Linked DNA regions of Macaca fascicularis. The main gene of each other region encodes a partner of the protein of the gene in region 2 in a complex. Links are inferred from orthologs where the notes say so. Each region holds a gene or a part of one and is shown on either strand. Other genes may lie near its edges. The genes, in order: PRPF3, SNRPD2, CWC15, PRPF4, ARMC7, GEMIN5 and SNIP1.

Region 1 (4,433 bases), on a different chromosome or scaffold from region 2:
AAAAAAAAAAAAAAAAGAAGACTAAAGTGATCCAGGGAAATGGTTAGTGCATCAGGAATGCATTCCCCACCCCTATTCTCAATCCCTAGACAAGTTCTTCCAACTCATTTGAAGGCAAGTATTTTCCCCAAGAACCTTATCTCAAAGCAGAAAGAGATCCCATTTGATTTTTAACTCTTAAGTTGATCAATGAAATCTGTGGAATAAATAAACTCTGTGAATAAGCTACGTCTGAGAGATTAATTCTAGCTTCTTTCTTGATCCTGTCATATCAACAAGGACTTGCAAACCTAGCAACACTAGAACAAAACTAAAAAAGCCCATCCAGAGGCCAGCTTCTCCATTCTTCCTACTTCCAGGCAGGCATTCCCTAATCCAACCCTGACTTATGTAGGATTCCCTTCTTTTAAGATATGCAAGTAAAACAGGTTTATCCAGGTCAGTCATCCTGGATATTAAATTAAATTTCATGATCCTTAAGAATGTTCTCTCACATTTTTCTGTGGTCATATTCATCCCAGTGGGAATTCTGCATACAGATAATTATCATGTTCAATCTACAGGGTCTCCATCAGCTGACTTGATGATCCTTCAGCTCAGAAAAGAATACGCTCATTTTTCTTTTGAGACAGAGTCTCACTCTGTCGCCAAGGCTGGAGTGCAGTGGCGTAACCTTGGTTCACTGCAACCTCCATCTCCTGAGTTCAAGCAATTCTCCTGCCTCAGCCTCCCAAGTAGCTGGGACTACAGGCATGCACCACCACGCCTGGCCAATTTTGCAGTTTTAGTAAAGACACGGTTTCACCGTATCAGCCAGGTAACTCCTTACCTAAAGTGATCTGCGCACCTTGGCCTCCCAAAGTGCTGGGATTACAGGCATGACCCACTGCACCCGTCTCTACTAAAAATACAAAAATTAGACGGGCGAGGTGGTGGGCACCTGTAATCCCAGCTACTCATGAGGCAGAGGCAGAAAAATCGCTTGAACCTAGGAGGCGGAGGTTGCGGTGAGCCAAAATCACGCCACTGCATTCCAGCCTGGGCGACAGAGTTAAACTGTATCGCCAAAAAAAAAAAAAAGAAAGCCAGGTGCAGTGGCTCACGCCTGTAATCCCAGCACTTTGGGAGGCTGAGGCGGGTGGATTACCTGACGTCAGGAGTTCGAGACCAGCCTGGCCAACATGGTGAAACCCCATCTCTATTAAAAACACAAGTATTAGCTGGGCGTGGTGACCTGCACCTGTAATCCCAGTTACTCCGGAGGCTGAGACAGGAGAATCCCTTGAACCTGGAAGGCGGAGGTTGCAGTGAGCCAAGATCGCGCCACTGCACTCCAGCCTGGGCGACAGAGCAAGACTCCGCCTCGGGGGAAAAAAAAGTGCCTAAATGAGAGTCAATAAATTGCACTGACCTCAATTTCTAAGCTCAGCTATTCCCAGCAGTGCCACTTATCAGAGATCTGGGAATCAGTTTTTCAAGATGTTTTAAGACATCTTTTCTCCAAAAAAATCCAGTCTGATTAACTTCTACATTCTTGGTAGGTTTAGCTTCTATACTAGAGTCTACAAGACTTGCTGCTGGCCAGGCATGGTGGCTCACGCCTGTAATCCCAGCACTTCGGGAGGCCGAGGTGGGCGGATCACAAGGTCAGGAGATCGAGACCATCCTGGCTAACACGGTGAAACCATGTCTCTACTAAAAATACAAAAAATTAGCCAGGCGTGGTGGTAGGCGCCTGTAGTTCCAGCTACTCGGGAGGCTGAGGCAGGAGAATGGAGTGAACCTGGGAGGTGGAGCTTGCAGTGAGCCAAGATCACGCCACTGTACTCCAGCCTGGGCGACAGAGCCAAACTCCGTCTCCAAAAAAAAAAAAAAAAAAAAGACTTGCTGCCAAATAGTAGACTCACTTTTGGTATATCCAAAGGAAGCTAGCAGACTGAAGTGATGAAACTAAGACTGAAAGATTTTCTGCCTCAGTGACAAGTTACGTGAGTAATTCTATGGTGACTCTATTACCCCATAATGAGTAGACATACAGCCTACCAATTTCTACATATTACACACGTATTGCACAAAAGCAGCATATCCAGACGACTTAGAAAGTGAAAACAAGAGTTCACACAGAACAGTTAGGACACTGAGTTCCACCATTTACAGGCCCTTAGGCAAGTTAACTAATTATTTGGAGCCACAGTTTACTCATCTTACAAAATGAGGACTGCCATATTTACATCTTAATTCATTCAATAAATATTTATTAACTACCAAGTGTCAAGCAAAGTACTAAGTGCAGTGGATACACAAAACAGTGAGCAAAACTAACAAGAGTCCTCACCTTAACGGGTCTCATATTCCACTAGAATTGAATGATAGGCTACAAAGTATAAGCAATTTGAAAGCCCAAAGCAATAAATGAGGTGCCACTGTTACTTCCATAAGATGATGTGCAAACTAAACAGCCATGGACAGAAAAGTTTCAAACGGTAATTAGCTTTGTCACTAATCAAATGCTCAACAATAACTGTGAGGTGCAGGGGGAATGGGGGTGCGGAAGGAGAGCGAGGTACAATGATCTCTCAATGAGCAGGCAGCAGAATCCAAATCCAGTCTTCTGAAGGAATTCCTTACTCCGTGCTCTTGTTTGCTAGAACCTGAGTTTCCCTCTGCAGCCCCAAATCTTCTGTTTTTACTCTCCGTCACTCCAACCAGTCTCTTACTCTACCTTGTTCTACCCAAACTCCTCACCTCAGAGCTGGTCTCCCCACCCGGTCTGCTTCCCGCCCCCGCCCTTTTCCTCTCAACAATCTCATTCCAATCTCTTCTTCCACCAAACCAGGTACTCCTTTCACACTCCTTCCCGCTGAACCCTCCCGCTTCGATCCTCCCCTTGGACTAAGCCCCCGGCCACAGTCGCGCGGACTGGAGTTACCCTCTCTGGGCCCGGGGCCACTACTCACCTCACAAACTTCAGCCCCTGAGACGGAGCCCGAACGTTACACCGGAACCGGAAACCTTCTGACCGCCCTACGGCCTGCCGTCGCTACCGCCACGGCCGCCGCCACGCCGCTGTCTCCCAACACGTGACCAAGGAGGGCTGGGCCGGCAATTCGCGCAGCCGTATTTGCCACTTTCTTGGAGGCTGAACGCATGCGTCGTAGAACCGAAAAGTTTCCCTGAGCAAGTTTCTTGCTTTCTATTTCCCGGGCTAAACCTATTAACTAGATTTCTGCCAAGTTAATGTTTTTAACTTCCTGAAGCGGAAATTGGGCTACTTGCAGTTTTCTTCATATGGAGAATAAGTGCGCAAAGGTAAACTTCGGATAGAATGAAGAGCGAGGCTTCTGCGTTTGTGTTCAAACACAGTCTTTCTGGTGGAAAGTAAACCCTTTCACAGTCGTGATCACTAGAATTAGCCACCCATCCTTAACCTTTCTCCCTAATTTAACAGTGGTGTCAGGCCGGGCGCCGTGGCTCACGCCTGTAATCCCAGCACTTTGGGCTCAATAAATGACAAGTGAGACCTACCAGTATTGCTTTCTCCATTCTATCAATAGGTCTATATATTTCCTTTTCTCCAAAATGAGGCTCTAACCTACTGACCCTTCCTTTTTTTATTTTTATTTTTTTATTTTTTGAGACGGAGCCTCACTCTGTCGTCAGGCTGGAGTGCACTGGCGCTATCCCGGCTCACTGAAACTTCCGCCTCCCAAGTAGGTGGGACTACAGGCGCGCACCACCACGCCCAGCTAGCTTTTGTATTTTTAGTAGAGACGAGGTTTCACCATGTTGGCCAGGATGGTCTCGATTTTTTGACCTCGTGATCCGCCCACCTCGGCCTCCCAAAGTGCTGGGATTTCAGGCTTGAACCAGCACGCCTGGCCCCTACTGACCCTTTAAATCATAACAACGTGTGTGGGCAAAGATAGTTTGGAAAAAGGATGTCCAGTATTATGACACAATTTCTTTATGTGAGAAATGGAAAAAATTCCATTATTTTTATATTATAAACTATCCAAACTAAAATTCCAAAATGTCTTCTTGGTGGTAGGCTCACTAGAAGATGCAGTTGCTCTTCAGGGAGGTTATTCAAATTCCCCAGATAGTAGGAGATTTTTGTATCTAAAGATACAATGTACATACCAAGCCCCACCATCCCTGATGGGGCAGCATGACCTAAAAGGATAAAGCCTGGCTCTGAAGGAACCAGTTGGGGGAGCTTCAACTTGCTGCTCAACTTATTCACAAATCAGTTTCTCCACTTACAGCTTCTAACACCAATGTCTCACAAAATATTCACTCAAAAAAGTTTGTTGAATGGGTTAATGAGTTTCAACGTTGCAGGGTTGTTGTAAATTTATTTTGTTTTAGTGCTTCTAACAGTCTGAGTTCAATTCCCTATGGAGAAATGTGTTTCTAGAAACTGATTTTAGGCC
Region 2 (4,495 bases):
TGCCTGGGGTTCGCACAACCAGCAGGGGGCGCAGATAAGTGCCCCAGAGACGCTGTGGGTCCAGTTGTCCCACCACCCTCCGCAGCCGGGCTTCGGGAAGGCTTCCGATCAACGGGACCTTGGGAAGGAGGTGGGATAGGGAAGGGAAGAATGAGAGCAACCCACCATTTCATCCCTACCCCGGGCGCCGTCACCCACAAGCAGCCCCGGGTCCTCTTTCTAATTTGCGGCCTCCAGCATCGGAGACTTCTAGGATAAATCCAAGGCTCAGAAAAAGTCCTTCCAAGACCATCCGGTCCAGCCTACCTCAAACTTGATGGGGAAATCGAGGCCCAGTGAGAGAGAGGGGAGATGGAGGAAGGGACTCTTCCAAATAGTTGACTAAAGGCGTAGAACCCTGAACCCCCTCGTCTTACTATTTCAGACCTTTCCTCATAAAAGGAAGCTACTGTTGTAAAACCAGCCCGAAGCCTTATTCCTTTGGTAAGGGTCATGCGCTCAGATGACGAAGACTGTGGCATCTGCGGTTAGGGCCGTACGCTAAAGCCAAGTCAACCCTGGGTAACAGCGGGGAGGGAATGAGGGTCCCCGCGGTGCCCGGGTCCCCGCCCAGCCTCACCCGCAGCTCCCGGCCCAGCGGCAGCTCCTCAGTCCTGCGGTGCCAGCCGCTCCAAATGGTGTAGAACGCCGAGCCCACGGCCAGCGCCAGCAACAGGGGCAAGAGCCGAACCCGCGGTAGCAGGCGGCGCTTCGGGGGCAAGAGTGGCTCCATAACGCCACGTTCCCCTAGCCGCAGGCGGGGCCGCCCGCGGCCCCCGGAACGCATGGCAGCTATGCCCTGAAACCTGTACCAGACCACGATTGAGTTTAGGCCCAGCCAAGTTCCACCCCATGGAATCAGTGGGCCAATAAGCAACAGCAGCGGCTGCACCTGCCCACCCCACAGCGAGCAGCGAAACCAATAAGAGCTACGGTCCTGAGGACACGCCTCCCGGCCTCCCTTGGGTATTGGGGTTGGTTCTTCTGAGAATGGCACGACCCAAAAGGGAGCGCAAAAGAGATAGGCTCCGCCTTAGCGGAGGGGGAAAGCCAATGAGCAGCGTTTGATCGTGGAAAATATTCAATCTCTCGGGCGCAGGTCCATGCCCCTCCCGGATGTAGGCAGGGGATTGGTGGCGCAGGGTCGGAAAGATCAGTAGATACGTCAATAACCCGTCCCAGAGGGAAGAGGGGCGGTGCCTGTCTCCGAAGCGAGGAGCGGATTGGCTTCAGCGGAGGCCGCGCCCCCGAAGTCACGGCCGGCGGGCATTTGGAAATAGTTTGTCATTTCCCTCCTTAAACCTGTACCATTCTTAAACGAAACGGTTTGAATCAGACCGCCTTTCCTTTTGTCTTCATTGTCATAAACATCTGCCCCGTGTGGTTCTGACTGGCCTCGAACCCCTATCCGAGGCTTTTATTCTTTCATTGTGCACCGTTGGTGGGCAATGCTATGGCAACAGGCCACGCCTCCACTTACTGGTTGGCTTTGCGCAGGCGCCAACGGAAGTGGGTCGCAGGAAGAGGAAGTCCCGCCTCTCTCGCCTCAGGCTGCAGCAACGCGGAGGAAACGGGAGTGAACGGAGAGCTTAGTGACCATCATGTGAGGCCGGGCTAGGCTTAGGCGGCGGGAAGGAGGTTGAGGGTGGAAATTTTGACCGATTGAGGGTGGGAAGGGTTGAGCAGAGAGCGGGGTGGGGGACAGGGGCAGATGTTTTAGGGATGGAGCGTCCTGCGTTTCTCCTGATGAGTTTGAGAACGGGCGTGGGGCCTTTGACGCATCGTGACTTCGGGAGAGGGGACAGCTTTATCAGATAACGCGCTGGGCTGGGCGCGGGGACTCATGCCTGTGATCCCAGCATTTTAGTAGGCCAAGGCGGGAGCATCGCTAGAACACAGGAGTTTCGAGACTACTCTAGGCAACATAGCGAGACCCCCGTCTCTACAAAAAAAATTTTTTTTAATTATGAAAAACATATTTTAAACGATAACGGAGGGGGGTCCTAGATAATTAGTCCTATTGAAGTGAATGTTAAGGGGCAGCGATTTTACGAATACTGGGGGAGGCCGGGCGCGGTGGCTCAGGTTTGTAAATCCCAGCACTTTGGGAGGCCGAGGCGGGCAGATCACCTGAGGTCAGGAGTTTGAGACCAGCCTGGCCATTGTGGTGAAACCCCGTGTCTACCAAAAATACAAAAATTAGCCAGACGTAGTGTCGGGCCCCTGTAATTCCAGCTACTTGGAAGGCTGAGGCCGGAGAATCGCTTGAACCCGGTAGACGGAGGTTGCAGTGAGCCGAGATTGCACCACTGCACACTTCCAGCCTGAGCGAAGAGTAAGACTCCATCTCAAAACGAAACAAAAGAAATCAAAACGAATACTGGGGAAGGGAAGTTAGGACTTTTAGAAATAATGATTTGAAATAAGGGACTTCTCCTGATCATTTGAGCTGGAGACAGATGCGTTTTCGACCTAATTCACAACTTAAAGGGATAACGAGTGATTGGCATGATTTTGCTCATTTATTAGTGCACCAAATATTACATTGAATGTTTATGTATCAGACACTGCTTAAGCCACATAGGATACATCAGTGAATGAAACCTTTTGTTCCCAAGGAAAAAAAAAATCTTTTTTTTTTTTTTTTTTTCCCGAGACATAGCCTTGCTCTGTTGCTCAGGCTGGAGTGCAATGGTGCGATCTCAGCTCACTGCAACCTCTGCCTCCCGAGTTGAAGCAATTCTCCTGCCTCAGCCTCCCGAGTTGCTAGGATTACAGGCACCAACCACCATGCCCAGCTGACTTTTATATTTTTAGTAGAGACCAGATTTCGCCATGTTGGCCAACCTGGTCTCAAACTCCTGACCTCGAATGATCCACCTGCCTCGACCTTCCAAAGTGCTGGCATTACAGGCGTGAGCCACCGTGCCTGGCCGGGCGTGAGCCACCATGCCTGGCCGGGGTTTTACTTTCTACACTGAGATGGCGGGGGGGCATGGGAGGATTTTCTTTTGTTTGTTTGAGATGGAATCTCGCTCTGTCACCCAGATTGGAGTGTAGTAGCACGATCTCTGTCTCCTGGGTTCAAGTGATCTTCTTGCCTCAGCCTCCCAAGTAGCTAGGATTACAAGCATGCGCCACCATGCCCAGCTACTTTTTTTTTTGGGGTGGGGGATGGAGTCTTACTCTGTAACCCAAGCTGGAGTGCAGTGGTGTAATCTTGGCTCACTGCAACCTTCGCTGCTGGGGCTCCAGCGATTCTCCTGCGTCATCCTCCTAAGTAGCTGGGACTAGAGGCATGCGCCATCACACCTCGTTAATTTTTTTGTATTTTTAGTAGAGACAGGGTTTCACCATGTTGCCCTGGGTGGTCTGGAACTCCTGAGCTCAGGCGATCCACCCCCCTTGGCCTCCCAAAGTGCTGGGATTACAGGCGTGAGCCATCACACGCAGCCTAATTTTTGTATTTTCTAATTTGTATTTATTTATTTTTTGAGACAGAGTCTCGCTCTGTCGCCCAGGCTGGAGTGCAGTGGCATGATCTCGCTTCACTGCACTCTCCGACTCCTGAGCTCAAGCGATTCTTCTGCCAGAACCTACCAAGTAGCTGAGATTACAGGCGTGCACCACCACGCCTGGCTAATTTTTTGTTGTTGTTTTTGTTTTGTTTGTATTTTTAGTAGAGATGGGTTTTCACCGTGTTGGCCAGGCTGGTCTCGAACTCCTGATGTCAAGTGATCCACCCGCCTTGTGAATCATCACCAGCTGGATGCCTAACAGACATTTTCTTTTCTTTTCTTTTCTTTTTTTTTTTTTTTTTTTTTGAGACGGAGTCTTGCTCTGTTGCCAGGGTGGAGTGCAGTGGCGCGATCTCAGCTCACCGCAACCTCTGCACCACAAAAGTGCTAGGATTACAGGCATGAGCTACCGTACCCAGCCCCTGGGAGGGCTTTGAAGAGTGACATGTTATGATTTAGGTTTTAGCACAGCCCCCTCAGACCACTCTGTGGAGAACAGACTGTCAGGGAACATGGGTGGAGGCAGAGAGACCGGAAAGATTCCAGGTCAGAGATGACAGAGGCTGAGGCCATGGTAAGAAATGGCCACTTCCTACAGATTTATTGTAGGATGCAAGGGAAAAAGAGGAATCAAGTTGACAAAGAGTTTTTGCCCAGAGAACTAGAAGGCAGATGGGGAACACTGTGGATAGGGTAGGCTTCGGTGGTTGGGTGATCTGGACCCCGACCTGAGACATGCAGAGTTGAAAATGTCTGGCTGAGCGCGGTGGCTCACACCTGTAATCTCAGCACTTCGGGAGGTCGAGGCGGGTGGATCACGAGGTCAGGAAATCAAGACCATCCTGGCCAACGTGGTGAAACCCACTGTCTACTAAAAATACAAAAATTAGCTGGGCGTGGAGGTGGCGCGCACCTGTAGTCCCAGCTACTCAGGAGGC
Region 3 (4,379 bases), on a different chromosome or scaffold from region 2:
GCGAGTGACTGATTGGAAGTGAAGTCTGGAAGTTAGGCAGGAGCCAGACGCCGTGGCGTCTCAGGTCACATTAAGAAATGTGATTTTTATCCTAAGTGCAGTGAAATTTTACACAGGATAGTAACACCATTTGATTAATTTTAAAAGATCACTCTCTTGGCTATATGCAGCATTGACTGTAGGATAAAAGATGACGCAGGAAGATACAATAGGAAACAATTACAATCCAGGTAGGAGATGGTGTTGGCCAGGACAAGGGTAATGGCAGTAGAATAAAATTTCGGGTAAGTTTTAAAAGTAGAATTGGTAAGACCTGTAAATGAACCGTATGTGAAAAGTGAAAGAAAAGGAATTTAAGTAGGCACTCTGGGATTTTGGTTTGAGTAACTAGTATGATGATCGTGTCCTTTAGTGAGACGTGTAAGACTGGAGGAGGGATACCTTTAGTAAGAAAAATCAAGATTTTCATCTTGAACTCTATGAGTGAAAGGGCTTTTTCTGCTTTTCTTTCTTCATTTAAAAGTTGCAAAGAATTTAGAGGTAAGAAAGCATTTAAATATTCAACTTTGTGAGTTCTTTATATTTTAAACTAAGTTGGGGAAGTTGAATTTTCATTTGTTTAACAAATATTAATTGAGCAGCTACTATATGTCAAGGTCTATGTGATGAGATACTAAGATTAGCTAAACAATCAAGATCTCTGTTCTCAGGATTTTTTTTTATGGAAGGGAGGAGACAGGATTGGTGGGTTTTTGGTTTTTGGGTTTTCTCCTTTTCGTTCTTATTAAAACTTAACACTTAAGTAGCCATCTTAGTAATTACATCTTGTGCTCCTGGCAGTTGGGCCCACCGTTCTAAACGCTGTCGTAAATATTGACATCTCCCCTCCCACTAAAACTAACGTTTTTTAAATAAAAAATTTTAGCAAACATTACGAATACAACCTTTGCTTTGAAGTGTTAATATTTTTGCAGGAATGTACCTTTGTAAAGATCGTGGTTGCCCCGTACATATTTGTTCTTTCTTCATATCCAATTAAATGAAAACACTAGTTTTTCCGAAGCCCAACTCTCTAGGTTTGTTGGTTCTAGCTCAGGAGAAAGGATGGAAGCAGGAGTCGTTGGATTTAAACAGTTTGGTGTAATCCTTTTCCACGCTCTCTCCCGCTAGCCGGGGACGTGGTGTCGGCTACCCGGGGCTTTCCGTCCACGCAGTACCGGAATGAAGGAGTCTGGGAGGGGGTCGGGGACGGAAAAGACGGAAGAGACATTAAGTAATTGGTTCTTGAAGGTATAAAATGATGTTTAGGGTCTACTCTAAGGCACTGATTTCAAACGCCCGCCCCCTGGGCCGTTTCGGCCCCGCCCCCTAGTGCCGTTACGCCGACTTCCACTTCGGCCACTGCGGATTGGTCGTTGCTTCCGCCTCCGAAGCGCTTGGATTTTGCTTCCGGGTCGTAGGCGCTAGCCCTGGGCGCAGAGGTTTCTGGGAGCTCGGAGTCGTAATGGCGTCTGTATGATCTTCGGAGATTGCTGCATCGGACCTCGGCCAGTGTGAGCGGCAGGAGGATAGGTTATCTTCCTCATCCCGGTGGGACGGGAAAGGGCAGTTGGGGTCGGAGTCGGCGGCAGAGTGCAGAGTGCGGGCGGTGGAGGACCTAGAGCAGCGGGCTAGGGGCGAAACGGAGTGCCTGTCAGGCGCGTCCGGAGCTCTCGGGCCCGCAGAGGAGATCGCAGCATAAAAGGCAGCGCGCCTACCGCGTAAAGCGAACCCCAGGTCCTCCTTTCACTACCCCTCGCACCCCTGCGGCGCTGGGCACGGGTTAAGGGGCAACGAGTTTCTGGTTATAGCCAAAGACTAGCTCACGAGAGGCCGGAGTAATAATTCCGTTAGTGTGTGGGAAGGGGCGGACTCCCAGCTCCAGATAACCCCGTTTCTTCTTTGTATACATGTCTCTTACTCTTTTTGAAAATTAGGAGAAAGCACTCCCCCCCACAAAAAAAAATCCTCCCAGTTCGCCCACCCTCCCCACACACTTGCTTTTCCGACACTAACAGGGTTTTAATGACTGCATCTGCTAGGCAGTATTCTTGTGACTGCTCCAAGCAGAAAGTAACTTAAGGAATGGGTCCCTGATTTTTGTCATCAGAATCCTCTGGGGCTGAGGTTCCTGTTTTGTTTTTGTTTTTGTTTTTTTTGAACAGTCCTTAAGTTATAACCCACAAACGATCTGATTTATAATATGATGCCTGTTGTAGGAGAAAATTGGCTCAACAAAAGGTTAAGAATTTTTTTCTATGTACCTGTCATTGAAGTTTAACACACTTTCCTTAGTAACTTTTTTCTCAGACACTTAGTAACTTTGTCAGTGATATTTTTTGTTTGTTTTTAGCTTTTGTTTCTACTAGCCTATTTGCTATTGTGTGAAGTTTAGATAAAATGCAAACCTTAGAGAGTCTGGTAGAGTAAGGTTGAGTTGGAAATTTTTAAAACTTAGTCATGGTAGTACTGTATTTTTCAAGGCTTTTGACATGTCAAGTGTCATAATTCTTATAGTAATCCTATGAGGAATATCTCCATTCCACGGATGACAGAAAGTTAAGCCAGGTGACTTGCTCAAGCCCATATAGTCAGAAGGAGAATAGGGATGCAAACTCAGATCTTCATGACAGAATTTTTTGTACTAAGACAAGCCGGAGAAGCCCTATTCGTTGTACGGCCTAAGCCTCATAATTTGTTTTCCTGAAAACTTTTGTTTAAGAAGATTAAGCAGGTTTAGGGGAATGAGTTTTAGAATTTATTTCACTAGTATGGATATTAATACTCTGTAAAATGAGTGTTTGTATTGTTGTAAATAACTTGATTATATTTTTCTTCAAAGCATAAAAGATGACAACAGCAGCCAGGCCAACCTTTGAACCTGCAAGAGGTGGAAGGGGAAAAGGAGAAGGTGATTTGAGCCAACTTTCAAAGCAGTATTCAAGCAGAGACCTACCCTCTCACACAAAGATAAAATACAGGTAGTAAGACTTTCTTTTTTTTCTTTCTTTTTTTTTTTTGTTGAGACAGAGTCTCGCTTTGTCGCCCAGACTGGAGTGCAGTGGCCGGATCTCAGCCCACTGCAAGCTCCACCTCCCGGGTTCACGCCATTCTCCTGCCTCAGCCTCCCGAGTAGCTGGGACTACAGACGCCCGCCACCTCCCCCGGCTAGGTTTTTGTATTTTTTAGTAGAGACGGGGTTTCACCGTGTTAGCCAGGATGGTCTCGATCTCCTGACCTTGTGATCTGCCCATCTCGGCCTCCCAAAGTGCTGGGATTACAGGCTTGAGCCACCGCGCCCAGCCTCTTTTTTTTCTTGTTCACAAAACAAGACCAAATCTGTTAAATGGCATGGTCATGATATAGTAGTATGTTCGAGTTATGTCACTTATCTATTATCATAGGATTAGAATGCAATAGGATGTTTAACACTAAAATTCTGCCCTGTGGTTTTAAAATGCAAAATTCCTACTAACCAGAAATTTTCGTATGTAGATACAACAATAAATAACAGAAATAATAATGCCTCAGAGAGATTATGCACTATCAGCACCAGTCAATATATTAAAAGTATTACTGTTAAGTTCTGAGTTGATAATACCAATAAAAATTAAAGACATTTTAATCACGTAAAGCCTTATTATAGGAAAATACGTGATTGAATTTGGACTTCTTGAAATATTGGGAACATCACAAGAGTGGCTGTTAGTAACTTTCAGATTAGATTATGATCTTATCTACTTCCCTTTTTTATGCTTGAAGGACAAAGTCTCATTCCTGAATTGTCTTCCATTACCACAGTCGTGTGTGTGTGTATGTGTGTGTGTGTTTAAGTAACATTTTTGCCCTGGTTTGTTTCTACTTTAGACAAACTACTCAGGATGCCCCTGAAGAGGTTCGTAACCGTGACTTCAGGAGAGAGTTGGAAGAAAGAGAGAGAGCTGCTGCAAGAGAGAAAAACAGAGATCGTCCAACCCGAGGTACCAACACTATCCAAGACATTTATCTCTAAAATTATGTTGTTGATAGTTTTTCTTTTATGTAGCAACTGGAAAATATTAACCATTTGTTTGCTTTTACAGATTGATGTGAGCTGTAATACTTTCTTAAGTCATTAGAGATAACAATAACAAATATTTACCAAAGGCTTATTTGCCCAGGCACTGTGGATGTGATTTCACTGTGGATAATGCTTTCAGTGTGGGCTCCTCGTGCCCACAGGTCCCTAAAACATTTTAAGAGATGCAGTATTTGTTTTACTAAGTTAAGTGATTTTTGTTTCCCCTCAGAACATACAACCTCCTCTTCAGTGTCAAAAAAGCCACGGTTAGACCAGATTC
Region 4 (4,198 bases), on a different chromosome or scaffold from region 2:
CTCACTGCAAGCTCCGCCTCCCGGGTTCACACCATTCTCCTGTCTCAGCCTCCCGAATAGCTGGGACTACAGGAGCCCGCCACCACAACTGGCTAATTTTTTTGTATTTTTAGTAGAGACGGGGTTTCACCATGTTAGCCAGGATGGTTTCCATCTCCTGACGTCGTGATCCACCCACCTCAGTCTCCCAAAGTGCTGGGATTACAGGCGTGAGCCATCACACCCAGCCAGAGGAGTCTTCATTTTATGCCCTCTGGTATTGTCTGAATTTCTTATGACAAATATGCGTAATTTTATTTTAAAAATAGAGTGGACCTCTCATTACTGACATGGAAAGATATCCTCAATGGTATATAAAATGAAAAATGGGGGTTATACAACAATTTACGTATCATGTTTTCACTTATGGAAAAAATGACGTATTTTTATAGCTGTATTAAAATTCTAAGATATACAATCAATTAATTAAAAAATACTGGATTTTCTACTTCACACATTCATACACTGTTTGATCTTTTAAAAGAAAAATAACTATTACCTTTTTTTTTTGAGACAGGGTCTCTCTCTGTTGTCCAGGCTGGAGTGCAGTGGTACAATCATGACTCACTGCAGCCTTGAACTCCCACCTCAGAACCCCAATTAGCTGGGAATACAGGCACGCGTCACCATGCCCGGCTAATTTTCTACTTTTTGTAGAGATGGGGTATCACTATTTGCCCAGGCTGGTCTCGAATTCCTGGGCTCAAGCCGGACTCCCACTTCGCAGCCTCCCAAAGTGCTGGGATTACAGGTTTCAGCCACCAGGCTTGGCCACTATTACTTTTATAATAAAACAAGATATCTCAGCCAGGTGCAGTGGCTCACGCCCGTAATCCCAGCACTTTGGGAGGCCGAAGTGGGCAGATCATTTGAGGTCAGGAGTTGGAGACCAGCCTGCGCAACATGGTGAAACCCCGTCTCTACTAAAAATACAACAATTAGCTGGGTGTGGTAGCCGGCACCTGTAATCTCAGCTAATCGTGAAGCTGAGGCAGGAGAATCACTTGAACACAAAAGGCAGAGGTTGCAGTGAGCCACGGTTATGCCACTGCATTCCAGCCTGGGCAAGAGAGTGAGACCCTGTGTCAAAAAAAAAAAAAAAAAAAAAAAAAAAGATATTTCCCTTTGGGTAAAAAATAATTGGAAAACTTCAAAAGGGAGATTATCACGAACCACTCTAGCTGCAAACCAATGCCAGAACTATGTTAGATCTCCAGAAGACAAATGGAATCAATCTGAATCCAAATGTACACTGAATTTTTGATAAGACTGCTCACTCATAGAAGCAAAACTATGTAACACATTGTAAGAAAAAGGCTCTCTGCATGATTTTAAGGGGGTAGGCAAAATACAGCCTTATAGATGCAAGTTTAAGAATTGAAATTCTGCCAGGCGCAGTGGCTCACGCTTGTAATCCCAGCACTTTGGGAGGACGAGGGGGAGGGATCACAAGGTCAGGAGTTTGACCAACATGATGAAACCCCGTCTCTACTAAAAATACAAAAATTAGTTGGGCTTGTTGGTGTGCGCCTGTTATCCCGGCTACTCCGGAGGCTGAAGGAGAACTGCCTGAACCCGGGAGGCGGGGGTTGCAGTGAGCAGACATCGCGCCACTGCACTCCAGCCTGGTGACAGAGCGAGACTCCGTCTAAAACAAAAGAACTTAAATTTTTTGACATTATAAAACTGATGATATTCAAGTTTAGGAAAGTATTCATTACACAAAGAGGTAAAGATGGGTTCACAATTTGCATCTTACCAGAGGTTATATTAATATTTCCAGCTTCGATCCCTGCTTTAAGTCCTTCTTTCCCCAAAATCCCAGACTCTCCTTTGGCCAGACGCTCCCTCTCCTTCTCTTCCAAACTTCCATAATAGATGTGTGGTTTCTTCACAACCGGAGCAACTAAGTCATCGGGTGTTTTAGTTTTGGTTGCCTGCCAAATCAAAAATCTGGATTAAATTGAGGTTTAATCTTGGCAATTTACCGGATTTCCCGAGGATGAAGCTCGCCCTGAGTTTCACAGTCCTATTTCCTTCATAATTGAAAGGACAAATTGGACACTACTTAAGATGTTCTTCATCGATTTGAGGTGAAGGGGAGGGTGTTTCAGTCCCTCACTTTAGCTGACGGGATTGATAAAACTAGTGAGGTTCTCTCGAGTATTTTCATATGAAAGGTTTGCTCTGGAATCTGTTTACTTTATTCTGCTGGAAACGTGGAATCTCGTGTTTTACGATGTATCCAAGATTACTGCTCATCACTGGGGAAATACTAAGGATAGATGAAATAACCAACGCGGTGCTAAAGGATAACAAGTTACAACATTACGAGTGTATACATTTCAAACGTTTCTAGACGTGAGGTAGAAGTTAGTAGGTCTCATTAAAATTTTGAGATCTGCCAAACGCATAAACCTTGGCCAAGACACTTCCCTATTTCAGAGCACCGTTACTGGATGAGTCGGAAGAGATGTTTGCCCTTTGGGGCTGTAGTGGGAGAGGTGCAAATAAGCTACAGTCCACGAAAGCGCTTAGGGGTCAGGAAAACGGTGGTCCGCTGTGTAGAACACCACTGAGTCCCGCAGCCTTCCTCCTCAGCCCTCCACCGCCTTCTCTCGCTCCCTAACGGCCCCTTCCCGCAGAGATCCTCTTCCCCCTTCGCGCTCCCTGCCAGAGTGAGTTGCGATCCCGGGCTCTGTACCGTGGAGGAGGTTCGCGAGGAAGCCATGCTGGGCTCTGGAGCCGCGAGGCCCCAGCGAAATCCAAGCTCTCCGTTTCAGACCTTCCACCGCGCGCCCAGCAGAGCGGAAGTGCGTCACTGACCGGAAGTGTGTCGCAAACAGGACATGGGCCAAGAGCCGTCGCTGCGCCCGGAGCGGCGCGGAGCATGATGGAAGTCGTAGTAGGAAATGGCGTCGTGGCATTGAGGGGCATCCCTCCTAGAACCTCCAAGAAAAGCTCGCGGAAGACGAGGTTCTGCTGAGAGAGAGGCTCCAAGCCGTCTGGGAAGTGTAGTCCAGTTGGCGTAGCAGTAGTTTCGTGGAGGGGAGCCGAGGTTCCGGGAAGGGGCTGAGCCGACTTGAAAAGAGGTAGGTAAGTCGACTCGCGCGGCTCGGGGCTGAACTCTGGAGCGAGTCGAGGGCTTCCGGGGCCCGCTGTGCCTCCCCGGGCCTACGGGGGCGTTTACGTCTTCTGGGAGCCGAGGACCGTGTTACCATAGAAACCCTGGGATCCGAGGTACAGGCCTGGAGCTAGGGGACGAGGACTGTTCTCTTCCATGGTCCGGAAGTCTTCCCAGGGGCCACCTATGAGCTTGATGGCTCGGCGGTGGATTTGGGCTGCAGCGAGAGATTAAGCTAGAAGAGCCCGCTGGTGCCAAAGTCAAATAAAGACCCGGCGGAGGAGCTTCGGCCTGATTTTGTTCATTTGTCTTCAGCCTGGTCTTTGTATCAGATTGAGAGTAAGATGATGGTTAGGAGGGTGTCAGGGAACTGTACGTCTCTCTGCCCTGCTGGATGCTGGGGTATTAGAGACGAACAGCATAAGGTTTTTATCCCCACGTGGACGGTGGGAGATCCTCAAAATATTGACGTTTCCGTAGCTGGCCAGATCCTCATCCAACCCCCTAGAAAAATTACAGCCATAATAGGTGTTATTTATTGAACATTTATTAAATGCCAAGTAATGTTCCAAGAGCTTACTCTGCATTACGTTATTCACTTCCTACAACAGCAAAGTAGGATACAGATGAGGAAACTAAGGCCTAGTTAGAAATGAAACTAATTGTTCAAGATCAGTGGCGCAGTGGGATTAGAACCTGTGCCCTTTAACCTCTACAGCCAGCACTTTTAACTGCTACTCTATACTGCTCCGTAGTGGCCAGTTTTTCGCAGTTTGCAGAAAAGGTAAAATGTATAGTAGACCTTTTTTTTCCTTTTAGGTATCCCTATCCCTCTCTTTCCCTCTTTGGAACTTTGGCTTTCTCTACCATTTGTCTGCATTGGAATCTGGTAGAAGATAATGCCTGATTTAGTACAAAGCAATTTGAAATGTAATGTGCCAGTGTTTTGTGTTGATAATATCGCCTGTAATATCCTAAGCTTCATGGGAGAAGGAAATATTTCTTCCTTTGTATACTTCACAGTCCCTAGTTTCA
Region 5 (4,336 bases), on a different chromosome or scaffold from region 2:
CAAGACTCCATCTCAAAAAATAAAATAAAATAAAATAAAATAAAATAAAATAAAATAAAATAAAATGTGTTACTTGATCCTATCAAGACTTTCAACCCAATTTCTAGATTATAGGAAATAAAGGGGATAAAGAAACAAACCACAAAGAGGCAATGAGACAAACCGGAAGGGGGAACATTTGCATTCCTGGTTGGGGCCTTCAAGAATCAGTGTTATGAAATGAGGGTCTGTTTAGGGTTACAAGCGATTTATCTCTTGGGGCCAGGAGTTCAAGACCAGTCTGGGCAAGACGGTGAGACCGTGTGTCGACAACAAATTAAAAAAAAAAAAAAAAAAAAAAAAAGCCGAGTTCGAGACCAGTCTGGGCAACACAGTGAGATCCTCTCGAAAACAAATTAAAAACAAAAAAAAGCCGGGCATGGTGGTGTCCACCTGTAGTCACAGCTACTCGGGAGGCTAAGGCAGGAAGACTGCTAGAGCCCAGAAGTTTAAATTTATGGTGAACTATGATCACACCACTGTACTCCAGCCTAAGTGACACAGTGAGACCCTATCTCAAAAAAAAGAAAAAGATTTAAGATAATTTATGTAGTGACTTCCTTCCAATGGGTATAATACATAATACGTAAAGAGGGGAAAGAAAGAGTAATTTTACAGTGGAGAAGCCTGACAAGACTTCAGCCAGGTGATCACACGCGTGTTGCCCAGGCTGGAGTGCGGTGGCTATTTACAGGTGCAATCATGCAATCGTAGCACACTACAGCCTCAAACTCCTGGGCTCAAGCGATCCTCCTATCTGGGGCTACAGATGAGCACTGTGCATGGCTTGAAACAGGGATTTTTGTTTGTTCTCAAAATTTTGTCTGCTTCAAACTATTTCCCACGGCCTAGATCTAAGCTCCGGCAAGCTCTGGTGCCGCTTAACTCTCTATCCTCTTTTTGTGCCATTCTCCACTTCACTATAACGATCCTGCCACATTCATCTTCCTTCTGGCTCCTTCCTGTTTTAAGGCCTTTGCCCATGCTGTGTCCCTGCTAAAATGCCTTTCTCATGATGGCCAAAACGGAAGTAACCACCACCTTCTACTGCTGTTTCTCATCACCCCATTTATTTGCTGCTGAGCATCATCTTTTTTGTTTGCTAACCACCTGTCCCCCCTACTAGAATGTAAGCTCCTGAGGGACAAACACTTTCCCTAACCTGTTCACCATACTCCAGCATTTAGAGCAGTAGTTTACATATACGGTACATGCCCAGTAAATATCTGCCCAGTGAATAAATCAATAGGTCTTAAGATCATAACTACAAAAGAAGCCGTAAGTTACAGACTGCAAGCCATCTCTGCTTCTCCTGATATGAAAACACTAAATATGAGTTACTTTTGTTTCTAAGACAGATTCTCATTCTGTCACCCAGGCTGGAGTACAGTGGCCCAATCCCAGCTCACTGCAGCCTCGTCCTCCCAGGCTCAAGCAATCCTCCCACCTCAGCCTCCTGAGTAGCTGGGACACCACGCCAGACTAATTTTTTTTTTTTTTTTTTTTAGCAGAGATGGGCTTTTGCCAGGCCGGTCTTGAACTCCAGGACTCAAGTGATCTGCCTGCTTCGGCCGCCCAAAGTGCTGACATTACAGGTGTGAGCCACCTCACCCACCTGAAATTGTTGTTGTTTTTTTTTTTGAGACGGAGTCTCGCTGTTGCCCAGGCTGGGGTGCAGTGGCGCCACCTCGGCTCACAGCAACCTCTGCCTACCGGGTTCAAGTGATTCTCCTGCCTCAGCCTCCCGAGTAGCTGGGATTACAGGCGCCCGCCACGCCCGGCTAATTTTTGTATTTTTAGTTAGAGACGGGGTTTCATCATGTTGGCCAGACTGGTCTCGAACTCCTGATCTCAGGTGATCCGCCTGCCTCGGGCTCCCAAAGTGCTGGGATTACAGGCGTGTGCCACCGCGCCTGGCTACAAAACTGCTCTTTTTAAAACATCTTTTTTTGAGACATGGTCTCACTCCGTCGCCCAGGCTGGAGTGCAGTGGCGCAGTCTCAGCTCACTTTGGCCTCTGCCTCCCGGACTCAAGCAATCCTCCTGCTTCGGCCTCCAGAGTAGCTGGGCCTACAGGTGCACACCACTGTGTGCGGCTAATTTTTGCTCCCGCTTAGCTGGGATTACAGGCACTCGCCACCATGCCCAGCTAATTTTTGTACTTTTAGTAGAGACGAGGTTTTGCCATGTTGGCCAGGCTGGTCTCGAACTCCTGACCTCAGGTGATCCCCCCGCCTCGGCTTCCCAAAGTGCTGGGATTACATGTGTGAGCCACCACGCCAGGCCCCAAGGACTCACTTGTAACTCACTTATCTCACCCCGGCCCATTTAGCCATCTAGCGAACGGGCCCAGCCCTTACCAATAGCAAACTCAACCAGGGTCTCGTTCTCCTCCGACAGCGAATCGAGAAATAAATCCAGGACCTGCAGCTGCCGTAGATACTCGTAGTTGCTGGGGTCATAAGCGAAGTTGGCGAGGTTGGCGAGGACTTGCTCCTTGGCGTCTGCAACGGGAAAGCGGCACTGGAGCCAGGTCCGGGCGGCGGTCACAGCCGACCCTGTCACCTGGTCCCACCGTGGCTCTCACCTTGGCTCTGGGTCTCCTGGAATTCCGTGACCAGCGCCTGCAGGTATCCCAAACGCCCGACGTGGGGGTCCAACTTCGGCTTCTGGGCCATGGCCGGCGTGACGGAGGACCCCCAGGGACGGGCGGGCGGGTGGCAAAGGTGCAGGGGGAAAGCCGAGCGAGACCCTCACCCACTCTCCACCTGTCTGGCGAGGGAAGACGCGGGGACGGCAAATGGGTTTCTTTCTTGGGTTCAGACTCTGCAGTAATTTGCAGCTGGAAATGGAATGTGGGGAGATGGGCCGGGGTCTCAGAATCCTGTAGGAGTTGGGTCTGAAAATCGAAATTGGGGCGCGGGAGACAGGGAACCGTCTGCGGGTTGGGGCTGGCGGAGTGGGTACTGGCGCCCAGCCCCCGGCTGCCGGGCTCGGTTCCAGGCTCCCGGCGGAAGCCGCGCTGTCCCCACCCTACAAGGCGCGGAAGGGGCGGGACGAGGCAGGCGAGGGGCGGGGCCGTCGCCGAACTCCTTGGCGCGCGTGCGCGGCGCGCTTTCGGTTTTCTGGCTGCGGAAGCTCTTTAGCCTGCGCTGGAACCCGCTGCGACACGCTTCGCCGAGGGAGGTATGGGCGTGGGTGGGTGTACTGCGAGGAGCAGCCTTGTCTCCCATATCCTATGTCCAGCTGCAAATTATTGCAAAATCTGAACGCAAGAAAGAAACCCACTTGCCGCCCCCGCCAACAGGAAGGCGGGTGAGGGCCTCTCTCGGCTTTCCCGCCCCACCTTTCCCACTCTCCCGCCCGGCCCCCCGGGTCCTCCGCCGCCCCGACGTGGCCCAGAAGCCGAAAGTGAGGCACCCATGTCGGGCGGCTGGAATGACGTGAGGAGCAACTCAGGAGCGCAACGGAGTCTGGCAGCACCCATGTTGGGAGGACGTCGAGGCAGAAGCACCTCCAGGATCCCCATGGCTGGCGGGGCGCGGCCCAGCCTCCTTGACCAGGACGCCCCTTTAGAGCGCGGGCGTCAGCTCCTTACCCACCCCCATCAGTCTTTTGACCCTTTTGCAAAAAGCGTAGCGACCCCGACCCGTCCTCTATCCCAGCCCCGAGGTGAGTCCGCCACCTCTGGACAGAAATCAAAGGGGACGGGGTCATGTCCTGGTGCTTTTTGTCAGCCGGGTGGATGGCGCGCGCCCGGGGCAGCACCGGGGAGCCCGAGGAAGAGCCTTGTTTGTGGCGCTTTCGGGGCTTTCTGGATGCTGAAGCCCTTCGGCCGATTCCTTCTCGAGGATTCTCGGGAAGCAGGTGTGTGATGGATTACTACTCGTGGTTACAGGGAACAAAGCACCAGGGAAGGAGGTGGCCTTACTACACTCCCATCGCGTTTGACAACGTAGGGGTAGAGAGGTGGCTTAGGCTGTGAGTGTCCTGAGAATGCAAAAGTTGTTAATCTAATTGGAGTCACTTGTGTTAAAAAAAAAACAGAACAAAAAAACCCGGACAGAGTCGGAGAAAACCATGACAAGAGGGTTCTCATGCATAAATATCTGATAATGAAAACTATCACAAAGATTCTGCAAAAACCCCAACCTTGCACAAAACATACTTTTGAATGGCCATCTGCCCAGCAACTTTCCTGTCCAACGTTGAACTGGTCACCCTTGTTACTAATTCTTCTACCTAAGGATAATTATCTCAAAACAATTATGTAATCCTATTTTTTCCCTTAAAGCCT
Region 6 (3,736 bases), on a different chromosome or scaffold from region 2:
AGGTAACAGGCTTTCAACTAAAGTCAATAGTCTCTGAAAGATTTCTATTCTGCTAAACTACAAACCAGGATAAACCATAGCATGAGGACCTAACACAGGGGTGTCGAATCTTTTGGCTTCCTGGGGCCACAGTGGAAGCAGAATTGTCTTGGGCCACACATAAAATACACTAAAACTAGGCTGGGCATGTGGTTCATGCCTGTAATCCCAGCACTCTGGGAGGCTGAGGCAGGGGGATCATGAGGTCAGGAGATCGAGGCCATCCTGGCGAACACAGTGAAACCCTGTCTCTACTAAAAACACACACACAAAAAAGTTAGCCGGGCGCAGGTGGGCACGCCTGTAGTCCCAGCTACTTGGGAGGCTTAGGCAGGAGAATGGCGTGAACCCAGGAGGTGGAGCTTGCAGTGAGCTGAGATCGCGCCACTGCACTCCAGCCTGGGAGACAGAGCGAGACTCCGTCTCAAAAAAAAAAAAAAAAAAGAAAAGAAAAAAACCCCACTAACAACAGCTGATGAGCTTAAAACCATCCTGAGCCATGGGTTGGACAAGCTTGACCTAATATATCCTTCCCTGGGCAAAACTTCTTTATCATGTCTGCTTTAACAAAAAACCATTTTGATGGGTCTTCACATTCTCCCTACATGTGAGCTATTGATATATTCAGTGCTGATCTGTAGCAGTAACTCTGAAATTGGAGTCAGGGGTGGGGTATTATGACTTGACAGGTGCTTTGAAAAAGCCCTCTAATCCCACCCAAGTTGTAAACTGCTGCTCTACAATGCTGAGTGAAAATAAGCAGCTCTTACATCTCTATCCATTGATGTGGAAAGTAATAGCTGTTTGTCATCCTCTGTTTGTAAAGGACATAAATTAAACACAATTCTTGAATGATTTTGCCCTTCTGATGAGGCACTGAAGAGGGTGTATTTCCGTCTCCAAGATTGAGTGAGATCCCATTGCAACAGTTCACCTCTGTGAAGGAAAAACATAAGCATTAGTTCTTTTACAAACAATCTGAAAACAAGTGACTGTTGAGTCACAGAGTCTAGGCTCATAGCTGCAAAATGATTTGTCTTTTAAGGAGAGAAAAATTGCATATTCTGAAAATACGCACAAAATATCTCTGGGAAGGCTGGGTGCAGTAGCTCACATCTGTAATCTCAGCACTCTGTGAAGCTGAGGCAGGAGGATAGCTTGGAGCCCAGATCTCAAGAACAGCCTAGGCAACAAAGTGAGACTGCCTCTACAAACAATTAAAAAATTAGTTGGGCATGGTGGTGCACACCTATGGTCCCAGTTACTTGGGAGGCTGAGGTGGGAGAATTGCTTGAGCCCAGGAGGTTGAGGCTGCAGTGAGCTGTGTTTGCATCACTGCATTCAAGCCTGGGTAACAGAGCAAGACCCTGTTTAAAAAAAAAAAAAAATTTGAGCCACAGAAAGGGGAACCAAGTAGCCAGGGAAGACAGGACAGTTTATTATATAATTTCATTCTTCTTGAACCATGTGAGTATACTGGACTACCCTTTAAACAGATTTATCTCCAGTCACTAGAAGTAGGTAGTCAATGAACTCTGTTTACTGAATGGGCATAGCCATCCAACCTAAGAGAAAATATTATAACCATCTCCCCTTTCTACACATGAAGTGACTGAAGCTCAGAAAAGTAAAGGGTCTTGCTCATGAATACAAGGCAGTAAGTGACAAAGTGATTCTGAAATTTACTTCTGACTTCAGAGTCCATATTCCTAACTGCCAGACTATACTTATTTGATCTTTTTACAGCTCTGTTAGTAGACAGCACAAGCATCAGTCTCACAATTTTTCCATTTCAAATGGGGCCCATCATAATACAAGCCTTGGCCATTATTTTCTCCATCTACAAAGAGAAACCTAGGAGTCCTTGAGGCCAAATAGAAAAACAAAACATATCTAAGAAAGCATGACCATAAAAGACTTACCCAAAACAGCTAGATACCAGCTGTGTTGGCTGATTGCTGGGCCAATGGAGTGTCAACCAAAGGCGCTCTTTAACAGTTGGGTCTATACCCCCTCCTCTTCTCTTCAGAAAGGGCAATTTCAAAATCATCACCCCTGCAGATTAAAAGGAAGGCCAATGGGCACTCAAGACAGTGAAATTACATGCATGACATTGCTGGCAGTTCACAATACACAGTCTGAGCTGTAAAAGCTTGTTAGTTTGGTTACTTAGAATTCAGATCTCGTTTTCCAATGGTTACAATTATAACCATTATAATGGTTATATTTTTAACCACTATAAACAGTGGTTAATACTAGTCCAGCTACATTTAGGTCAAATAAGCTTCCATAAGCTATCTTGACAACCTCAACACATTAAGAGTATATTTTCTTTTTTTGGCCAGGCGCGGTGGCTCATGCCTGTAATCCCAGCACTTTGGGAGGCTGAGGCGAGCAGATCATGAAGTCAGGAGATCGAGTGGATGAGTGGGTATGCAAAATGTGGGACATACATACAATGGAATATTATTCAGCCTTAGAAAGGAAGGATATGCTGACGTACGGTACAACATCAACAAACCTCAGGGATATATGCTAAGTGAAATAAGCCAATCACAAAAAGACATATCATATGTCTAATTTCACTCAAAGAAAATACTCAAGAGTAGTCAAAATCATAGAGCAGAAAGCAGAATGATGGTTGCCAGGGCCCGGGGGAGGGGAGAATGGAGAGTAGAATTCTGGAGACAGGTGGTTGTGACAGTTGCACAACTTTAGGGTATACTTAATACCACTTAAATGTACACTTAAAAGTGATAAAAATGGCAAATATTGTATTTTCCACCACAGCTTAAAAAACTGCGAGAAAAAAAAAATAAAATGGAGAAGCCCGCTAGAAAGAGAAAAGCAAGATTTTTACTATAAAGGTTATATTCCCTAATATATTATAAATATTAATTATGCCTAGAGTTTCTCTTAATTTTTAAACTTAACGAGAAAAGTTCTGTTCAAAGAGAAATTTGGGAACGCTAAATGATTGAGGGGCTCTATAATTTGGATAAAATGAGCTTTTACACATAATTCCAGGCTGGGTGTATGTTATTCTGCATTTGTGCATTAAAAGCTCTAACTCTTGAGATCTTTTCCATTCTCCTGGCCTAGGCCATATCATGTTCTAATATTCCCATTTTTATTACAAATATTCTGCTCTCCATGCCAAATAGTGACCCTTTCTATAAACCAAGAGGTCCTTGTTTTCTTCTGGAATGCATGGGAAATACTCATTCTAAGGCCAGATGTTGAGAGAATAGACAGTTCTAGCCCAGGCTCAAATGAGGAAGCAGAATTCTAGACCGAAAAGTGAAGAACTGCTCTCAGATAGATGACACACCCACAGGACAATAAGACAGAACAAAAAACCCTCTACTTCCACCAGATCAACACAGGTTACATCACAAAAGAAAGATCAATCTTACCTCGGCCTCTAGAACAGTTCCAGATTCGAATGGTTTGATCTTTGCTTCCAGTGGCTAAGTAGCAGCCTTTTGTTACTGGAGCTTGTGCCACAGCATTCCCATTGGTAATTTCAGCTTCTTCTATGAGATAGGTAGCAATTTTGCTTTTAATTTGCATTAAACACACACTAATATAAAACAATTAGTTTGCAAGAGTTCCCAGAACTTAGCTATCTCTTTCATAGGTCTGAACTGTAAAATTTGAAGTTTTATGTATAATTAAAATGATATAATTCAGCCGG
Region 7 (4,468 bases), on a different chromosome or scaffold from region 2:
GATAACTTGAAATGCTGATAAAGATACAGGGAAACTGGATCATTCATACATTGCTGGTGGGAATATAAAATGGTACAGCCACTGTTACGGACTAAACTGTACTCTCCAAAATTAGCAAGTTAAAGTACCAAACCCAAGTACCTCAGAATGTATTAATAACTGTTTTTGGAGATAAGGTCTTTAAAGAGCTGATTAAGTTAAAAAATGAGGGCAGGGCCCTAATCCAATATGGCTGAGAAAAGACACCAGGACAGAAAAAAGATCATTTAAGGATACAGCAAAGAGGTAGCCATCTGCAAGCCAAGGAAAGAGGATTTTTTTCAGGAGAATCCAAACCTGCTAACACCCTAATTTTTGACTTTTAGCCCCAGAACTACAGGAAAATGAATTTCTGTTGTTTAAGCCACCTACTCTATGGTATTTCATTATGGTGGCCCTAGGAAACTAATACAGCCACTCTGGAAAACAGTCTGGCAATTTCTTAAAAGAATTAAACCTGCAACTACCGTACAATCCAGCAATTGCACTCCAGAGAAATGAACTCTTATGTTCACATAAAAACCTGTACACAAATGTGTATATAGCAGCTTTATGTGTAATAGCCAAAAAATGGAAACAACCCAGATGTTCTTTAATGAGTAAGTGGCTAAATCCATGCCATATGGATACCACTCAGCAATGAAATAGAACAAACTACTGAGAGCTGCAACCTGAATCAATCTCCAAAGGATTCTGCTGAGTGAGAAAAGACAATCCTAAAGGTTACATACTGTATGATTCCACTTACATAACATTCTTGAAATGACAGAATTATAGAAATGAAGAACAGATTAGAAGTTGACAGAAGTTAAGGAAGGATAAAAGTGGGAGATAAGTGTGTGTGGCTACAAAAGGACAACATGAGGTATTCCTTGTGGTGAAGGAAATGTTATCTTGACTATATCGATGTCAATATTCTGATGATGATATTGTACCACAGTTCTATTATGAATAGATGCTACCACTGGGAGAAACCAGGAAGAGTATATCTCCCTGAATTATTTCTGACAACCATATGTGAACCAATAATAATCTCAAAATAAAAAGTTTAATTTAAGCAAACAAGCAGAAAAAAGAAATACACCCAGTTTTCAGAAAAGCCCATTGGAGGTACAGGTAGAGATGTAGGCGAGTGTGCGTGCACACACGCGCACACACACAATACACACACACACAGCCCTCTTTAGCTGTGATAGGAAAAGGCTCTCAATTTGGACCCAACATCAAAACACCCCAATCCACTTACCTGCTTCACTTTGACTGTTGAGTAGTGAGGACTTCGGTTTCTCTTACTCCGAGGAGACTTGCTTCTTCTCCCTGAGGACTTGTTTTTCTTTTTGGGTGGGGACCTATACAGAGCATGGTACACAGGATTTTATCGCAATTTCCCTTCCCCCATAAAAATTAGCTTCCAGTATCAGGCTTACCTACTAACACAAACACTGCTTTTGTGAAGGTATCTGCCAATCACATTAAAGGAGTCACGAGGTTCATTTTCCTAGCTCTAACGTCTCCCTTGCATTCCATACTCACATAGACAACTGTCTACTGAACCTTCTCACTTAGGTAACAAAACTCTTAATTTCCAACCCTTCAAAAACCTTTCCTCTCCTACTCCTTGCCATCTTGCTAACTGGCATCACCATCCGGAAGTCACCCTTGATTCTTTATCCCTCACTACCAACACCCCTAGCATCAGGAACAATCCCTCCATCCTGTGGTTCTACTTCCTCCCTATGCCATCTCATTCCTACCACCCACCTTCTTGACCACTATACTCCACCGACACTGGCTTTTTCCCATTTCAATCATAATTCATTCTACTTCAAGTTCTTTGCAGATGTTGTTTCCTCTGCCTGGATCTTTAAGAGGTTGAATCATTCCTATCACTCAGGTCTGGACTCAAATGGCACCTCTTTAAAGAGGCCTCCTCCCTCTTCTCTCCAATCTCTATCACATTACTGTTATAACCTATCAATAATACTTGTTATTGAAACTTTTTTTTTTTTTTAATCATCTGTCTCAGGGTTAGAGCACGGCCAATTTGGCACTGGTGAAGATCATCTAACTGAATCGCCCTTGCAGCCCCAATACCTAGGGCAGTCTTTCACACTTAAAATAGGCACTCAGTAAAACTATGGTGAATGAATGCATAAATAAATGAGTCTAGCAAGAAGTAACTTTTTTTATTTTTATTTTTCCAGTTTCTGTTAGGTAGCTCGCCTAGACCTCGATGTGAAAACCTTTCTGGCAGGTAACTGGAAAGACAAGGCCCACACTCCATTTGTGGGCGGGATGGGGAAAATCTCATTCCAATTTAACAGATTATCAGTGCTATCTGTTGGGCTACACTCTTCGAAGTGCTGGGGACACAAGAATGAAGGAGTGGGATCCTGCCGGTGTGTCATTAGGCGTTGAACACCGAGCTATAAGGCAAGTGACAGAGCAAGCATAACACAAGCACGACTGGATCACTCTCAACAGTCCCTCAGGATTAAGTCCGGGCTGCTGCGCCCAGCATTCAAAACCTGTTTCGGATGCTAGCCCTGCCCGCCTTTCTGAATGAGCCCAACCCAACGTCCATCCTGGGCTGCTCCCCCACTTACCGGCTAACTCCTCGGGCTCGGTTCCCGCGGTGGCCCGGGCGGCCCGGCTCGCTGGTCGGCGGAGACGGGCTACCGCCGGAGTGGTCCGGACGGCGGTGGGCGGGAGGTGCGACTTCTGGGCTGAGACGCTCCTGCTTCACCACCACCCCCGCCGGCAGCACCATGTCCCCGTCCCGGTGTCTTCGCCGGCTCCCTCGCTCCCGTTCGCTCTTCACCGCCTTCATTCTGTGATTTTGGCTGAGCGAAAGAAAACAGATCCGTTGAGCTCCTCTAGCTGAAGGAAATGACGAGTTTGACTCCTGGACTTCCGCTTCCGGGGTGCCCAACCTCCCAGAAATCCTCGCGGCAGATATTAAACACGTGACTACTCCCTAGTGGGAGTAGCCACAGTGACCGGCTTGGGTGGCGGGAGTTTCAAGTTTCAAAAACAAACTTCTGGCTGGGCGTGGTGACTCTCGCCTGTAGTCCCAGAACTTTGGGAGGCCGAGGCTGGCGGATCACCTGAAGTCAAGAGTTCGAGAACAGCCTGGCCAACATGGCAAAACCTCGTCTCTACTAAAAATACAAAAATTAGCCAGGTGTGGTGGCGCGCGCCTGTAATCCCAGCTACTCGGGAGAATGAGGCAAGATAATCGCTTGAACCCGGGAGGCGCAGGTTGCAGTGAGCGCAGATCGCACCACTGCACTCCAGCCTGGGCGACAGAGCGAGATGTCTCAAAAACAAACAAACAACAATAACAACAAAAAACTGGGAAAAAGCAAACCTCTCAAGACTGTTTGTTGCCACATTACTGGTAATTACAAAACGTGGAAACAATGTAAATACCCAGCAGTAGGGAAGTTAGCCAAATTAATGGGTGTTATGTGGCCATTAGTAAACCATTTACAAACTTTAAAAACCCTGACTTGTTAACGACAAAGCAGGATACAAAATTGTGCGCAAACCATAATTACATTTACATTTGGAAATAGAAGGGAGGAAGACATGGAAATGCAATCAGAGATGATAACCCGTGGGCAAATCATTAGCTTTTCCTCTTCTATTTCCTGAACTTTTTGCAATGCTGTTGGGGCTCAGAAATCGAAACCCCAAAATATGGCGCACTGACATGCCGAACTGAAGAAGCCTCAATGTTCCTTCCCGGTGCCCACCATCTCTCCCAAAGCGCAGGTCTTTATCTGCCTAAGATACAGACTACCAAAAGGAATAATTGTTTCTTTCTTCTCCTCCCAAGAATGTAATCACACCTGACCAGAGACCGTTATGCTGTCAAAAGTAGCTATTTACAGCCGAACACGGAGGCTGCAGCCTGTAATTCCGGCCCTTTGGGAGGCCAAGGCAGGAAAAACGCTTGAAGCCAGGAGTTCCAGACCAACCTGCCCAACATAGCAAGACTCTGTCTCTACAAAAATTAAATTTTGCAGGGGCTGGTGGCTCGTGCCTGTGGTCCCAGCAGAGATAGGAGGATCACTTGAGCCCAGGAGTTGGAGGCTGCAGTGAGCCGTGATGGCACCACTGCACTCCAGCCAGGGCTACAGAGTGAGACCCTGTCTTCAAAAAAACCAAACCAAAACAAAAAAACAACAAAAAACTATTTACAAATGTATCTCTGTTCCCTTATTAATTCATTCTGCCTAGTAATCCCTGAACAGAATTCCTCCTTCTCCCACCCTCATAAGTCTGTTTTACCAGGAGGATATATAAGCTTCTGAACCCCTTTCAGGGTGGGTAATCACGCTGTGATTCTCCCCGTGTATACACTTTAAATACATTTGTATGCTTTTTCTCCAATTAATCTGCCTTTTGTGAACTGATTTTTGAG

Evidence for each region.
Region 1: SNRPD2 (region 2) and PRPF3 share a complex: the UniProt entries of both Homo sapiens proteins name them as parts of the U4/U6-U5 tri-snRNP complex. The link is inferred for Macaca fascicularis from reciprocal best matches to the Homo sapiens genes SNRPD2 and PRPF3.
Region 3: SNRPD2 (region 2) and CWC15 share a complex: the UniProt entries of both Homo sapiens proteins name them as parts of the minor spliceosome. The link is inferred for Macaca fascicularis from reciprocal best matches to the Homo sapiens genes SNRPD2 and CWC15.
Region 4: SNRPD2 (region 2) and PRPF4 share a complex: the UniProt entries of both Homo sapiens proteins name them as parts of the U4/U6-U5 tri-snRNP complex. The link is inferred for Macaca fascicularis from reciprocal best matches to the Homo sapiens genes SNRPD2 and PRPF4.
Region 5: SNRPD2 (region 2) and ARMC7 share a complex: the UniProt entries of both Homo sapiens proteins name them as parts of the minor spliceosome. The link is inferred for Macaca fascicularis from reciprocal best matches to the Homo sapiens genes SNRPD2 and ARMC7.
Region 6: SNRPD2 (region 2) and GEMIN5 share a complex: the UniProt entries of both Homo sapiens proteins name them as parts of the SMN-Sm complex. The link is inferred for Macaca fascicularis from reciprocal best matches to the Homo sapiens genes SNRPD2 and GEMIN5.
Region 7: SNRPD2 (region 2) and SNIP1 share a complex: the UniProt entries of both Homo sapiens proteins name them as parts of the minor spliceosome. The link is inferred for Macaca fascicularis from reciprocal best matches to the Homo sapiens genes SNRPD2 and SNIP1.

What each region holds. Positions count from the first base shown.
Region 1 is NC_088375.1:110,939,420-110,943,852, forward strand, and holds the start of PRPF3 (U4/U6 small nuclear ribonucleoprotein Prp3), read right to left. Parts: upstream 3,001-4,433; 5' UTR 2,336-3,000; intron 1-2,335. UniProt on the Homo sapiens protein: Plays a role in pre-mRNA splicing as component of the U4/U6-U5 tri-snRNP complex that is involved in spliceosome assembly, and as component of the precatalytic spliceosome (spliceosome B complex).
Region 2 is NC_088393.1:53,756,258-53,760,752, reverse strand, and holds the start of SNRPD2 (small nuclear ribonucleoprotein Sm D2), read left to right. Parts: upstream 1-1,587; 5' UTR 1,588-1,640; coding exon 1,641-1,642; exon of another isoform or gene 1,643-2,374; intron 2,375-4,495. Other genes in the region: QPCTL (glutaminyl-peptide cyclotransferase-like protein), read right to left, coding at 1-118, 620-826. UniProt on the Homo sapiens protein: Plays a role in pre-mRNA splicing as a core component of the spliceosomal U1, U2, U4 and U5 small nuclear ribonucleoproteins (snRNPs), the building blocks of the spliceosome.
Region 3 is NC_088388.1:93,956,697-93,961,075, reverse strand, and holds the start of CWC15 (spliceosome-associated protein CWC15 homolog), read left to right. Parts: upstream 1-1,475; 5' UTR 1,476-1,776; intron 1,777-2,881; 5' UTR 2,882-2,889; coding exon 2,890-3,020; intron 3,021-3,906; coding exon 3,907-4,019; intron 4,020-4,328; coding exon 4,329-4,379. UniProt on the Homo sapiens protein: Involved in pre-mRNA splicing as component of the spliceosome. Component of the PRP19-CDC5L complex that forms an integral part of the spliceosome and is required for activating pre-mRNA splicing.
Region 4 is NC_088389.1:44,822,724-44,826,921, forward strand, and holds the start of PRPF4 (U4/U6 small nuclear ribonucleoprotein Prp4), read right to left. Parts: upstream 2,857-4,198; 5' UTR 2,771-2,856; coding exon 2,744-2,770; intron 1,977-2,743; coding exon 1,799-1,976; intron 1-1,798. UniProt on the Homo sapiens protein: Plays a role in pre-mRNA splicing as component of the U4/U6-U5 tri-snRNP complex that is involved in spliceosome assembly, and as component of the precatalytic spliceosome (spliceosome B complex).
Region 5 is NC_088390.1:81,488,772-81,493,107, reverse strand, and holds the start of ARMC7 (armadillo repeat-containing protein 7), read right to left. Parts: upstream 3,011-4,336; 5' UTR 2,718-3,010; coding exon 2,627-2,717; intron 2,544-2,626; coding exon 2,400-2,543; intron 1-2,399. UniProt on the Homo sapiens protein: As a component of the minor spliceosome, involved in the splicing of U12-type introns in pre-mRNAs.
Region 6 is NC_088380.1:161,716,832-161,720,567, forward strand, and holds part of GEMIN5 (gem-associated protein 5), read right to left. Parts: intron 3,576-3,736; coding exon 3,456-3,575; intron 2,095-3,455; coding exon 1,962-2,094; intron 976-1,961; coding exon 810-975; intron 1-809. UniProt on the Homo sapiens protein: The SMN complex catalyzes the assembly of small nuclear ribonucleoproteins (snRNPs), the building blocks of the spliceosome, and thereby plays an important role in the splicing of cellular pre-mRNAs.
Region 7 is NC_088375.1:197,372,237-197,376,704, reverse strand, and holds the start of SNIP1 (smad nuclear-interacting protein 1), read right to left. Parts: upstream 2,934-4,468; 5' UTR 2,870-2,933; coding exon 2,646-2,869; intron 1,389-2,645; coding exon 1,286-1,388; intron 1-1,285. UniProt on the Homo sapiens protein: Required for pre-mRNA splicing as component of the spliceosome. As a component of the minor spliceosome, involved in the splicing of U12-type introns in pre-mRNAs. Down-regulates NF-kappa-B signaling by competing with RELA for CREBBP/EP300 binding.